Drosophila melanogaster: one gene and its partner. The protein of the gene in region 1 purifies or fractionates together with the protein of each later gene. This does not show direct contact. Each region holds a gene or a part of one and is shown on either strand. Other genes may lie near its edges.

Region 1 (4,881 bases):
GAAACTGTACGTCTCACTTGGACTAGCTAAGTAACGGGTATCTGATAGTCGGGCAAGTCGACTATAGCGTTCTCTCTTGTTTAACATTATTATTTACTATTCCCAATGCAGTCATACATATAAAATACAGATAAACAAAATAAATCACCACGGTTAGTACACCCAATCAAAGTGCAGTACATGTAACATCGGAACATTGAAAATAAAATCGAAATCGAAAAAAAAATTAAGATAAGCAGAGCATGCCTGATTATGATGTGCTTGCTGATCCTTAATTATTTAGATTGGCTATTGTTTCAGTTTTAAATTTATGAAAACTGAGATCTTTTAATAGCAACTATGTCGCCGACTTTGTACTTTTAGGATGGTCCTCGTCGTAGATTGTATCTCTTTTTCTTCTCGTTTTGAATCTGGAGAAAACGTCTCTTTGCTTGAATTCTATCATTTTATCCTCTAGCATCTGCTGAATCCTTATATTCAATTTTAGGCTCATCTTCCTGCCCTTTTTTTGCTTCAAACAAACATTGAGTTGATGACTTCTGGTACGCCACTGACAATTTATGCCAATGTAGTGGGTCGTCAATTGCAAGTTTTGAAAAAACTGAAGCTTTTGAGTTCACCCTCTCAACCTCTCTATTTCCAAAAATGTTGCTTTGATCTTGAAGTCTTGCAAAATATAAGATGTTGATTTGGGTGTTTGGATTTAGATAGAGCCAGCAGAATTTTGTGAAACTGTCGATTTCTGGTAAAACTGTTTATACTGCTTTTGCGTTGACTCTAGAAGTCCAAGGAAATTTATATGGTAGGTTTGAAGCGGTTGCTTATCTTTGCTGAGTGGATGAAGTTTCACGTAATGTATAGCTACTCCTTTGTGGTTAAATCCCTGAAGATAGCGTTTACATGAAGTTGGATCACACTTGGCGAATTTGAAAGACCGAAAAGGTATTCTCAGAAATTGAAATTGTCAGTTGTGAGTGACTAACGATGTATATTAACGGCTCTACTCGGATGTTTCCATGATGCCGTCTTCAAGCCATTGTTCGGTTTTATTGTCAAAAATGTAACGTTCGGCATAAGAAAATCTGCAGGACCGTATGTATTTCGGCATACCGTATGTATTTATATCTTCGATATAAATTTTGAGATTTGAACTTATATCACCTTCTGATGTGATAGGTTTTGTAATTTTCACTTCTTCACTGTTTACTGTAACTTGAGCTTGTTTGCAAAACTCTTTATCAAACACCATTTATTAGTCGAGGAGGTGCGATTCTAATACGAGAAAATTTTTTAAAAATTCGGCATATTCTGCCTATTGAGAGTTTCTGCTCAAACGATCCTGATGATTTGATCTTATTTTTGTCTGATTTACTAAACCCGACGAGATATATTTTGCAGTCCCTTAACTTTAGCTTGATATTGTCAGTATCTTCCTGAGTTTCTTCGCCGATTTCATTGTCCGTTTCATACTCTTCGCTTTCGTGTTAGTCATTTCCTCGCCAAATTTGGTTCGACTAACATGTTTCTTTGTTGCAATATATGTGTTTTGTCAAGTCGGTCTTATCCTGTTGCAGTTTTTGCAAATTATCGCGAGATCCATATCAGATAATTTGTCTGCGAAGAAATTAATTTCTGTCGATTTGACGATTTGACTCGTCGTAAGCGTAGCCTCGAAATTCTCGCAAGCGTTTTCTGTTATCGAGTACAATGTTTTCCGGATCCGGATTTGCTAACTCTTGCGATACTTTATTTCTTTCTTTATTTTCATTATATTTTAATTCTTGTTTTTAACACTTTTACTACCTTTTTACACTCTGTTATTTTGGTTTAATTTTGTTGTATATTAATTGTTGAGCCCCAAATTATGTGAGACTGAGTTCTTTTTTTTTTGTGATGTGTTTACTGATCCTTGATTGGATATTTGTTTAAGGGGTTTTGGCGAGATAGTCGTTCTCCGGCACGTCTTCTACTTCGTCGTCGTAAAAACATTTTCCTTCCATGGATTTTTCCGTTTAGCTCCCGAAATCGTTCTCTGCCTTTTGAAGGCTCGCCGCGTCGTTAGCTTCGCCTAGTCATCGTTATATTAGCTAGGATGACCATTCCCACATATGCATGTCTGTAAACATTCTCGAATACTCGAAATACATATAAAAGCCTTTCAAGGAATGCATCCATAGGCCTCATAGGGTTCTTACAGGACAAGACTTGAATACTTTTGAAACTTATGTGGAGTTATGAAATAACGTGTCGGAACATATTCCACTCAAATTCCACGTCCGTATGGGGACCTCTCAAGAACGCTTACAGTGTGTAGGCAGTGTGCAGGCAGACGTAGTATAAGCTCATGCTTTGTAAATTTGACTAAATGTGACATTCATATTTTAGAAAATAGTAATAATAAAATAATAAGAACAAAATATAAAGTAATTGTGCTAAATTTTGCCAAAATAGTAAAATAGGAATTATTTACGAACTTTTAATTTTTATGTGCTCATTTTAATTTGATGCTGGTAGGGCTGTTTTTATACAGGTTTGAGTTTCAATAGATTATTTCAATATAAAAAACTTGATTGGCCCAGTTGAATGCCCTTATTTATGCAAAATTCCTTTAATCTCTAAATAAATTAATTTTTAAGATGAAAATTGATACCTGGTTGAAAATCGTCTTTTTCCACAAATATGCACACATACTCACTTTCTTGCGTATGCCTTAATTTACTCAAACAAGTGCGTAAAAAAAATTAGATTTGATTTCAACTGAAAGAAATAAGCTGCGAGCCACTGTATGAGAATTCCATGAAAAACGTTGAACTGCCGATGCTAAGTTAATCATAAAATGGTCCACGTCAATATAAATATTAAATAAATATCAATTTACATTACAGGTCTCGGAACATACATACATAAGTAAGTTAATGGATGGACATATTAACATACATTCTATGTACGAACCTAAGAACCCATGACAACACGCATATCTAGTTGTTTTTTCATATTAAAATAAACAAACACTTTTTTTAATTATAAAAAGTTAAGTAAATTAGACACAGCTTATGTGCAAAACTACTAGTTTCATCAACAAAAAATCATCAACTGGGTAGCAGATGGTACCTCCTTTTCTTACTGATTTTACTTTTCCATATATGTATGCATGCATTACATATGTATGCATTTTTAAATGGACTTACACAGAAATTCAGTATATTTCACCTATACACTAAAGATTTACTAAGGCAAATATCAAGATGTTTGTGTAAACTGCTGATGTATGAATCGAATGAATTGAGATTTATTCATATTAACTTCAACCTTACACAATTTTCAAAGTCGATTTGTGACGTTCTGCGTAAATATGCACGATACTGCATTTTTTTTTTACTCAGATGGAAATGTATATATATTAAATATATTATATATTTATTAAAGGCAAATTAATTTTCGTTCTTGATCTTGGATCTTGATCTTGGATCCAAGGACAGTTTGACAGTTTAGCCATACAATTTCGCAATCTTGTAGCAGTGCAAGTTTGTAAAGTTGTTAGTCTCAAAATAGATCATAGAAAAAATAGATCGGTGAAAATATATCACTAACAAACGGTGTTAAAAACCAAATGATTGTAAAGTTTGGTCATGGCAGCTTTGTCAGTTTTCCGGGCTTAGACAAGTTTTTTTAAGCATATCAATAGAAATTAAATTAAAAAGAACCGAAACATAATTTAATTTAATTTAATAATTTTTTAATTTTAGTTGACCTTTCGAATGGACGCGAGAACTTTCTGAAATATGTTGTTTTTCTAGCTTTTATATTTCCCCAGATCTCGAAGTATACACGGACTGACTAGATCATGAATACATATAATGTATACGGTGGTAAAGGAATTTGCGTCAAAATAGCGCAGATGAGTTAGTTGCGTTGGCGGAACGGCAGAATTTTTAACATGGGAACGTTCTTATTTACTTGTTCTTTTAGTCTTTACTTATAGGTGAATTTAAAAAAAAGAATGTTATGAAAAGAATGATCTAACTATCTATTTACGACAAAAGTTTGAAGGACCCAAAAAAGTATTACAATATGCAATTTAAAAATAGGCACCCAACTTTTTAGGGAATATCGCCATTCTCAAAAGGTGTTCCAAAATGAACGCTAGACAACCTTAAAGGATATTTCAGGAAAATTAAAAAAAATTATCCACAGTTTTTGTGATAATTGCATAGTACAGCTATAAAAAAGTTTTTAATTTTTTTTTTTTTGACTTAAAATTACAGAGGTCCCAACATAAAGGGCCCTGGGAAAAGGTCCCTCTGAAATTAGCTTTCAAAGCGAACGGTCGTGTTAGTTGCGCTCCGATTTTTATTTTGTGTTTGTCAAACAAGCCGTGGTTTTTAATAATCTTCTTTAATTATCATATATTTTAAACATAATTATTAAAGATTCCGTTCGCTTCGCGAGTGATTCTTTTGTGATTTGTGCAGTAGTTTAAACAAATATACAAAGTATTTTGCATTTTTCGTCCTTGTGTTATGTTTACTCTCCCTTTTGTACGTTGTTCGCAGTGCTGTTCGGTGTGGTTTTTTGCATGCGCCCACACAAAATCTAAATTTCTCAGCGTGCAGACTGCTCTCTTGCGGTTCTTTTAACACCTCGCTAGAATGTTTTGATCTTGTGTTTTCGTGCACAGTGGTCTGATTTTAGATAAACATGGAAACCGTAAATGTTGTCTGCTTTTATAAAAATTGTTGCCAGGTTATAAAACCTGAGCACCAAAAATTGTTTTGTTGGCTATGTGATAGAATGGTGCATACTAAGTGCGCTGGTTTTAATGGCCGAACAAGCGATGACCTAGCGAAGGGTAAAAATTAAAATTACTGTTGTGATGCTTGC
Region 2 (7,891 bases), on another chromosome or scaffold:
ACTGTATCGCAATCCAGTGTAAAATCCGTGAAAACTGCGATATAAATGTTGTGTTTTTTTAAATGGCATGTGAACTGTTATAATTCTAAATTTATTACATTGTAAAATGCGTTTTTATTACAAGGAAGAAACGTGAGATTTGTTCGTAATTGCTTTTTTATTCTATCATTCTGTACAAAATGCGTCCTTATCGTAGAGAATTGCTTAGAGCTATGGCTAGACAAATGTTTCCGTAAGTAGGAATTCAAAAATATACATACATACATGTCTTAGGTAAAGGTACAAATATATGGATATACACATGTCTGCGTCCTTCGGCTGTCCACATTCCATGGGAGGGATCGTGCAGAACAAGTTGAGTGTACACCGATATATCGTAAGGCAATACAGCGAAATGCTTCGCAGCGCCGAGGTGCATGTGCATACATACTCGTCTATGCTTTGCGTTTTATATAGGCGTATAAATATAAGAAATCCGAAGCACTCTGCAGTATGCTCCCTTGTTCTGGGTCGAGCTACGTTGGACTTATTAATCGTTAATCACTAAGGCAAATTTGCGCTCTATATATTGCGTAATGTCAAAAGCAGACGCGCCACGCCCCCTCCATTTCCAACCCTTATCTCCCCGACCACTCTAAATCGTGCCCTTGAGGTTTGTTATGTATGGATTTGGAAAAGTATCAAAATACTTAAAATCGTACAGATAAAACAGATCAGGACCGGCAGGATCACAATGAAGCGCAGTGATCTGGAATCAAAGTATCGAAGTAAATCATAAATATCGAAGAATCCTTACTTTGACATTAATATCAACACACCTTCCTTGCCCTAGGGCTGGGTGTCAGAGATTCAGGTCCATGTCCGCCTCCAGATCAATGTGGTTGAGCGAGTTGCCGGCGCTGTTGAAGATCTGATTATCTGCGTTGCTGTTATCCGTGGTTCCACTCACATCAGCGCTTCGCTTCGATTTACCTAACAGCCAGCAAGAGAATACTTTGACCAAATTTCGGACATTAATATTATGATGATGGCGTTGTCGTTGTAAATGAGCAAGGAAATCAACAGGAAAGGAAAACAATAACGAGACACCTAGCTACGAATACAAACCGCCGTCATGATACATACATTGTCCTCTAAAGCTAGCTGAAACTAAAACCTGAGCTGATCCTCCGACTGGAGTATTGGACTGGGATGTTAAGTGTGGTGGGATGTGGAGCAGATAGTTCCGTAAATGTAGCAACACTTACCGCCCGTAAAGCACAGACAGCCCTCGTCATCGCTAGGCGATTCCCGCCTCGAAGTCTTTAGCTTAAGCTCCTTGTTCAGCTCGTTCAGGCATCGCTGATAGTAATCATAGTCTTTCAGATACCAGACTGGAGGCCATCGGTGCTCGCGCAAGTACTCCTGATTATCCTGGTGTAGCGCCTTTAGGCCCTTGAGTGAAAACTTACAAATAAGGTTGTAATTGACGCACAGGTATGACATGCACCACTCGGCCAATTGATGTGCGTTGTGCAGCTGAAAAAAAAAGAAAAGTATTGAATTTCGGTATATCATTTTTAACTGATCTCTCTATGTGTACCTTCACTGGCTCGAGCAGCTTTAGACAGTGATCCACCGTTTCATTGGTTTCGTTCTGAGAAATCAGAGTGAGATCTTCAATAACGCGGCATTCAACCAGGTTGAGCAGCCGCGGCAGGCAGAGTCTATTGGCCAGCTCCAGCAGATTGAGGCACTTGACGGCCGAGATTGGCGGAATCTGGTCTGTGTACAAATAGCACAGCAGCTTGTGGAATGTGTAAATGGTAACGCCAGGGAATACGATCTAAGGTAAAGGAAATTTATGACAACTGTCCTTAGTTAAGGGGTATTGTGCCCGTTCCTACCACATTGGAATGAGCCTCGCGAAAGTCGCCTAACAACATTGCGCGCATGACATCACAACGACCAACCAACACAGCGCGGTGTGCCTGCAATGCAGCAAAGGTAAGTGTAAACGATTGTGCTTCATATAGTAATTCAACAGACATATGTATGTACCTTCATTAAGCCATCGTCCAATTCAAAGGTGACATCACTGAAGCACCCGTCACCAATGCAATGCCGTTCCATGCTTTCTTTGATGCGCTAATGTATGTAACAGAAAATGGTTAGGATCATAAAATAGATATCATGACATCAATGCGCTCACCAGGCAAATGTGCGGATTTGGCTCATCGCTGGAGTTCTCCATAACGGTTTGAGGCCTGGAAAGTAGCTGAGTCAGTTGCGGCAGTTCTAATAGATCGGCAGCTTCTCGAATTTCCTGTGAGAATTAACAATATATTAGTAGGTCAAACTTAACACAGAATACATTGAAACATTTCCTACCTCGATATTATCGCAATCCTTGTCAATGGTACCGGTATAAATAAATCTCAGGCACTGGTGCAGAGCTTGCGGAGAGATAAGTTTGCTAAGGGTGACAATCGTCTGCAGACCATTTACACCCCGATGGTTTTCCACGTGCACCAGGCGAATGCTCTGCAGGACCGGATGATGCAGCTCCCTGTACAAATCGTTGGACCGCTTAGACTCCATGAGAGGCAACGCCTGGTAGCTGGAGCGGCGCTTCAAGTGTTCCCACATTCTGTGGGTGCAAAATGTATTCAAAGTCAAATGGGCTCAATGCAATCGGGAGGCAGCACCCACCGTTGTGTGCGTGATTCGTAGCGGATCAGGGCCTCCGTGTCATCGTTAAAGTCCGCAATGGTGGCCTCCCCGAATGTTGAGCTGACCATGCTAGATTCGCTGCTGCTCCGCCCGCCCATATCAGTCAGCTCAGTGCTAAGCAGGCGCTGGAAGATGCTGGACGCGGCGGCTAGCATGAACCTGTGCACGGCGAACTTGGTGCCACCCGCCCCGACCAGGACGAGGTCGGTGTAGGCCTGCGACAGGAACATGTTGTAGATGTCCTGCCGATAGTTGCCGACCATGACGGTGACCTCCGGTGGTGGTGGCTTCGGTGGCCGGAACGGCGCCTGCAGCAGGGGCTTCTGCACCTTCTTCAGGTTTGTCATCCAGAAGCGCTGCTGTCGGCGTGCAATCAACGCGGATCGGATGGCGTTTTCAAACACCTCGTTCACCCCAAAGTATGTGAAAACACTGGTCTCGTAGTACGCCACTCCTAGCTCTTTGGCGACGGCACGCGCCTCATCCGGCATAACCAGGTCACTCTTCAACGCGGCTCTTTAAAAAAAGATTATAGTAATGATTGCCTTTAATTTAATCCAATTAAATAGAATATCTCTGAACATATAAACAGATTAATTTGCTATAGTGGGCTAAACATTGAATTATATCTTTCGTGTGTTCTAAATATAATTAAATTATGGTGAATAATTGAATTGATTTGATTAAAGAACAACATTAAAAAGTGAAAGCCACTCAAAACCGGCTGAAACCTGCTAGCTATGCATACCGAACAAAGGTTCCCTTCTCGCCGAAATACGAGAGATAGTTCTCGTCGCGATACATGTAGCGCAGGTCGTTCTTGCAGCCAACTAGAATGACGGGAACATCCGGACAAAAGCGGCGAATTTCCGGATACCACATCATCTTGCAGTTGCGCAGGGAAATCGGACTGGCAATGGAAAAGCACAGCAGCACCACATCGGATCTGTAGGTCAAGAAGGCATCTTATTGATTCGTATGGCGAAAATGCTGCTACATGAGCTCTACACACCTGCCGTATGCGAAGCGCCGATCCTTGTCGTGGTCACCAAATGTGTCCCATAGGCGAAGTGAGACATTCACTCCATCGACCACCTCCCATGATCGCTCGAGTACCTTTAATGTATATGGATTCGGTTAAATGCAATAACTATGACTCTTGAGAGAATGGTAACCCACATCCTTATATATGCGATACTGGTCAATGGCCCACACGGTCGGCACGTGCGTAGAGAGGAGCTGAGATAGCGAGACGTGTTTGTTGCAGGCCCTCGCGCAGATCAGTCGCGTCTTGCCCACGGCCGTGTCCCCCACCAGGACGCACTTCACTAGCTCTTGATGCGGCTGCTCGTTGTCCATTTTGGGCATGCACAAATAGCAGAACCAGCTTATGGAATCTGAAATGAAAATAGTATTGGATTTTTGTGTGATTTAATAAAATGTGGTCTCTCCTGAGGAAAACATACATAAATGAAAATATTGAAAATAAAATAAACTGCTGACACCCCTTCTAATATAAATAAGTGAACTACGTAGAATAGCTGCCTTAATGTTTTTCAGTTCTGATAAGCAGATGCTAAATTCTCGACTAACAATCGACCTGCTAATTACTAAGTTACACAAAGTGTCGTCTGCATTAACGTTTTGTGTGAAGGCAAAATGGTTTCATCACGTGATTAATTTGATTTTAATCTAGATACCTAAGTGCTTCCCAAAATAGAAATACATAGTTTGAAATAATCTACGCACTGGGAAAATTCACTTCTACGTTCAGTTATACGTAAAGCCAGAATAACTGATCTACGCCAATAGGCAATTTTGTTTGTTTACTCGCTGCGCACTGTGAAAATAACTATAGTGAAATCAGATACCAGCTTCGTATCATTTACTTAGAAATCTATTGGATCCCGCAAACGGAGGCTATAAAACCAGCCAATTCATTGACCCCCACTTGATCCACTTGTCGCGGAGGAAGTTGGAGTAAGTACCTCGGATACGGAGCGATAAGCTCGCTCTCTCTCTTTGAACCTCTAATTGAACTTAATTGGGCTGCACTAAAAATATATCTGCCTTCAATCCTCCGGTCGCAATGAGCACACTTCTTCCTGCGTGGCCCACGCTTCATGGCAATCCATTGTCCGATCTTCTCGACGAGCTGCAGTCTGTCTATTTTGGGACGCGCTTTAAACCCAAAACAATAACCATGCAATTGAAAGTACTTCAAGTGGTCGCCAGAAGCGATCGTTGTTCTCCACAGGAAAGTCTTTTGTTCGTGCGAAGACTTTAAGTTACTGTCAATATTGTGGATCGTTGACCTCTGGAATACATGGCAATCGGTTCCACTTTTGCTTTGATTTTCTATAATTTATGTGTTCAATCTATTTAGAGCCATTTGAATTGACTTTATGAAGGTTAAAGAGGGAAGAATATTCTTCAAATATTGAAAAATTAATGTCTGATATAACTACTATAAAATACCGTTTTTATTTTTATTATTTCCTTGTAGAAATATTTTTAAAATATATTATTTAAGTGCCCAGTCTTAAGCAAAGTGAAGCAAAAACAAAGAAACAAAGAAAGAAGACGTTGTGAAGGTAAACAACTGTTAGTTTTTGAAGATATCAGGTATTTTGAAAATGGAAAGATCGTATTTTTTAGTTTTTAAAAGGTATGTTCTTAGTTTTCATTGTAAAATATTTGCACCAACCATAATCTTGGGAAATAAAAACAAAGTTTATTTAGGGACTGGTTCCAATTTATTTCTCATGCGAGGTGTGAACCTGTGGTTTAATTAGACATTTTGATTCGCGAGAATTCGCAGAACACGCCAGCATATTAGCATTATTAACAAACTCTGCGCTGTTTTGCCATGTCTGGGAAGTCTCCTTTCTTCAATTTTGCCAGCTTATTGATTTTCTCGTGCCATTGCAAAACGGCCACAAATACCGTTACCAAACCACACACACATTCAGACTCGCACACAAGGAGGCACAGAAGGGACTTTTAGGAGGGGATCTTGAAGTTCGGACTCGACATTCCGGCAAACTTGACCCATTTAGGGGAGAAAAATCGTTGAACACTTGCACTTTTTCTCGAGGAAAACGCATGTTGGTGGGTAAACAATTAAAACCTGATTAGAACCTAATTCTTCGACTGCTGGCCGAAGGGGAGAGCACAGAATTCCCGAACTCATAAATCTCCGCGGACGTAGCACTGCAGCACTCACCTCTGAAAACGCCTGATCCCACGGATTGCACGAATTGCACGGATTTGCCTCAATGTTCTTACTTTTGCGTATTGCACTTATCAACACGCACACCAAAGCACGGCATTTTACAACAATTTGCATTTATTTCTGCACCCACACACCGATGGCGACGCAGTTTGTGGTTCGCAAACACGCGAAATCTTTACGGCTGGCACAAGTTTAACATCGCTGCGAGCTGGTTGCCGACGGATGGCTGCGGATGAGCCAGTGCTCGCTGACCAGGTGCACTATAAATGAAATTAAAAAATAATAAATTGCAGTTACAGCCCGCAATTCTTCTACGCGCTTTGACGGCAACCGGCCAGTGTTGGAAAACGGCGGCGGTTGGGCGCGGAGCACTGCCAGATTGACGGAGAACGGGAATTCACGGAATATTTATTTTTATAATGACTGTTATCAGGGTTGCCCAATATTTATTGTATGGTCGTTGGAAAAATTTCAAGCATTTGAAATACATTTTGAAATCGCCATCTATCCTAGGTAAGGTGAATATGCAGCTTACTTTAGTCCAAAGTTACATTAGAACTATTAAAAATCATCACTTTAAACTTATTAAGTCTTTCGTATTTGAAAATATGGCCTACCACTTTGTAAAATTTCTCCAATTGGGAATTTCAAATCTGGAACCACTCACAAAATAAACGATCTGGCAACATATTAAACTAGTTCTGCGTGCGCGGTGAGTTGGCAGCTCTGCGAACAGATGATTGTTTGCTATTTTAGTTGTTGCGAAACTAGTTAGAATTTATTTTTCGGTCCAAAAAGCGATTAAAATTGATTGAACGTGTAACCGACCGGCTTGGAAATCTACTCCTCCCACTCTAAGATTTCTTGTGCGCGCTACGTAAAGCCGGAGTAGCGTCGTCAAGAGTATTTCACAAACTCAATGTATCTTACGTGCAGAAAATCGATTTTTGCCTTAACAGCGGTTTTTGGTCGACGGTTGGCAGCAATTAAACAAATTTCCGCTAACGGGCACCACTAAATCGCATTTATTTCGCACAGGTCAAGTGCGTTGAGGGCCAGCATTTCAGTAACACATCGAACGATTGGCACGCTTATAAAACCCAAGATGACAATAGCCGAAAGCTCGCAAAAGTCCGCAACTAGGAAGCCAGACAGCATGGAGCCCATATTGAGGTAAGTGCACGTTACGCATCTTAGAGGTCGTCGAAAGGCAATGGTTCGTCGTTTATAGGCTGAACAACATTGAAAAGTCGCTGCAGGACACACGCGACTACCGCGGATTGCAACTAGAAAATGGACTAAAGGTCCTGCTCATCAGCGATCCCAACACAGATGTCTCGGCGGCAGCGCTGTCCGTGCAAGTGGGGTAAATAAGATCAAATCTTCACTCAATGTTTGTTTTTAATGAGTATACCCATGGCAGCCACATGTCTGATCCCACGAACCTGCCTGGATTGGCCCACTTTTGCGAGCACATGCTGTTCCTCGGCACCGAGAAGTATCCGCATGAGAATGGCTACACCACATACCTTTCGCAGAGCGGCGGAAGCAGCAACGCCGCCACCTATCCCCTGATGACCAAGTACCACTTTCACGTGGCGCCGGACAAGTTAGATGGAGCCTTAGATCGCTTCGCGCAGTTCTTCATAGCCCCCTTGTTCACGCCCAGTGCAACTGAGCGGGAAATCAATGCGGTATGTGAAAGCATTCATTAAAATTTCTGACAGAAATAGGACGCTGTCATTGCAGGTAAACTCTGAGCACGAGAAAAACCTGCCCAGCGATCTGTGGCGCATCAAGCAGGTGAACCGCCACCTGGCAAAGCCTGACCATGCCTACAGCAAGTTCGGCAGCGGCAACAAGACCACCCTATCCGAAATACCCAAGTCCAAGAACATTGATGTGCGGGATGAGCTGCTAAAGTTTCACAAGCAGTGGTACTCC

What was found.
Region 2: the proteins of conu (region 1) and RhoBTB purify together in Drosophila melanogaster (affinity purification with western blotting, with the first as the bait; one study listed by BioGRID). This does not show direct contact.

The regions. Positions count from the first base shown.
Region 1 is NT_033778.4:4,742,709-4,747,589, reverse strand, and holds the start of conu (conundrum), read right to left. Parts: upstream 3,243-4,881; 5' UTR 3,189-3,242; intron 3,186-3,188; exon of another isoform or gene 2,953-3,185; intron 2,935-2,952; exon of another isoform or gene 2,696-2,934; intron 1-2,695. UniProt on the Drosophila melanogaster protein: GTPase-activating protein (GAP) for Rho1; functions with the ERM protein Moe to regulate Rho1 and control proliferation in the developing epithelium. Recruited by Moe to the cell cortex where it negatively regulates Rho1 activity.
Region 2 is NT_037436.4:20,374,649-20,382,539, reverse strand, and holds RhoBTB (Rho-related BTB domain containing), read right to left. Parts: upstream 6,299-7,891; 5' UTR 5,939-6,298; intron 4,799-5,938; exon of another isoform or gene 4,701-4,798; intron 4,110-4,700; 5' UTR 4,081-4,109; coding exon 3,892-4,080; intron 3,829-3,891; coding exon 3,725-3,828; intron 3,659-3,724; coding exon 3,461-3,658; intron 3,229-3,460; coding exon 2,692-3,228; intron 2,630-2,691; coding exon 2,371-2,629; intron 2,306-2,370; coding exon 2,192-2,305; intron 2,128-2,191; coding exon 2,041-2,127; intron 1,971-2,040; coding exon 1,887-1,970; intron 1,826-1,886; coding exon 1,583-1,825; intron 1,519-1,582; coding exon 1,248-1,518; intron 994-1,247; coding exon 842-993; coding exon of another isoform or gene 819-841; intron 749-818; coding exon of another isoform or gene 658-748; 3' UTR 142-657; downstream 1-141. Other genes in the region: CG5498 (uncharacterized protein), read left to right, coding at 1-45; Ide (insulin degrading metalloproteinase), read left to right, coding at 7,053-7,120, 7,179-7,313, 7,371-7,641, 7,697-7,891.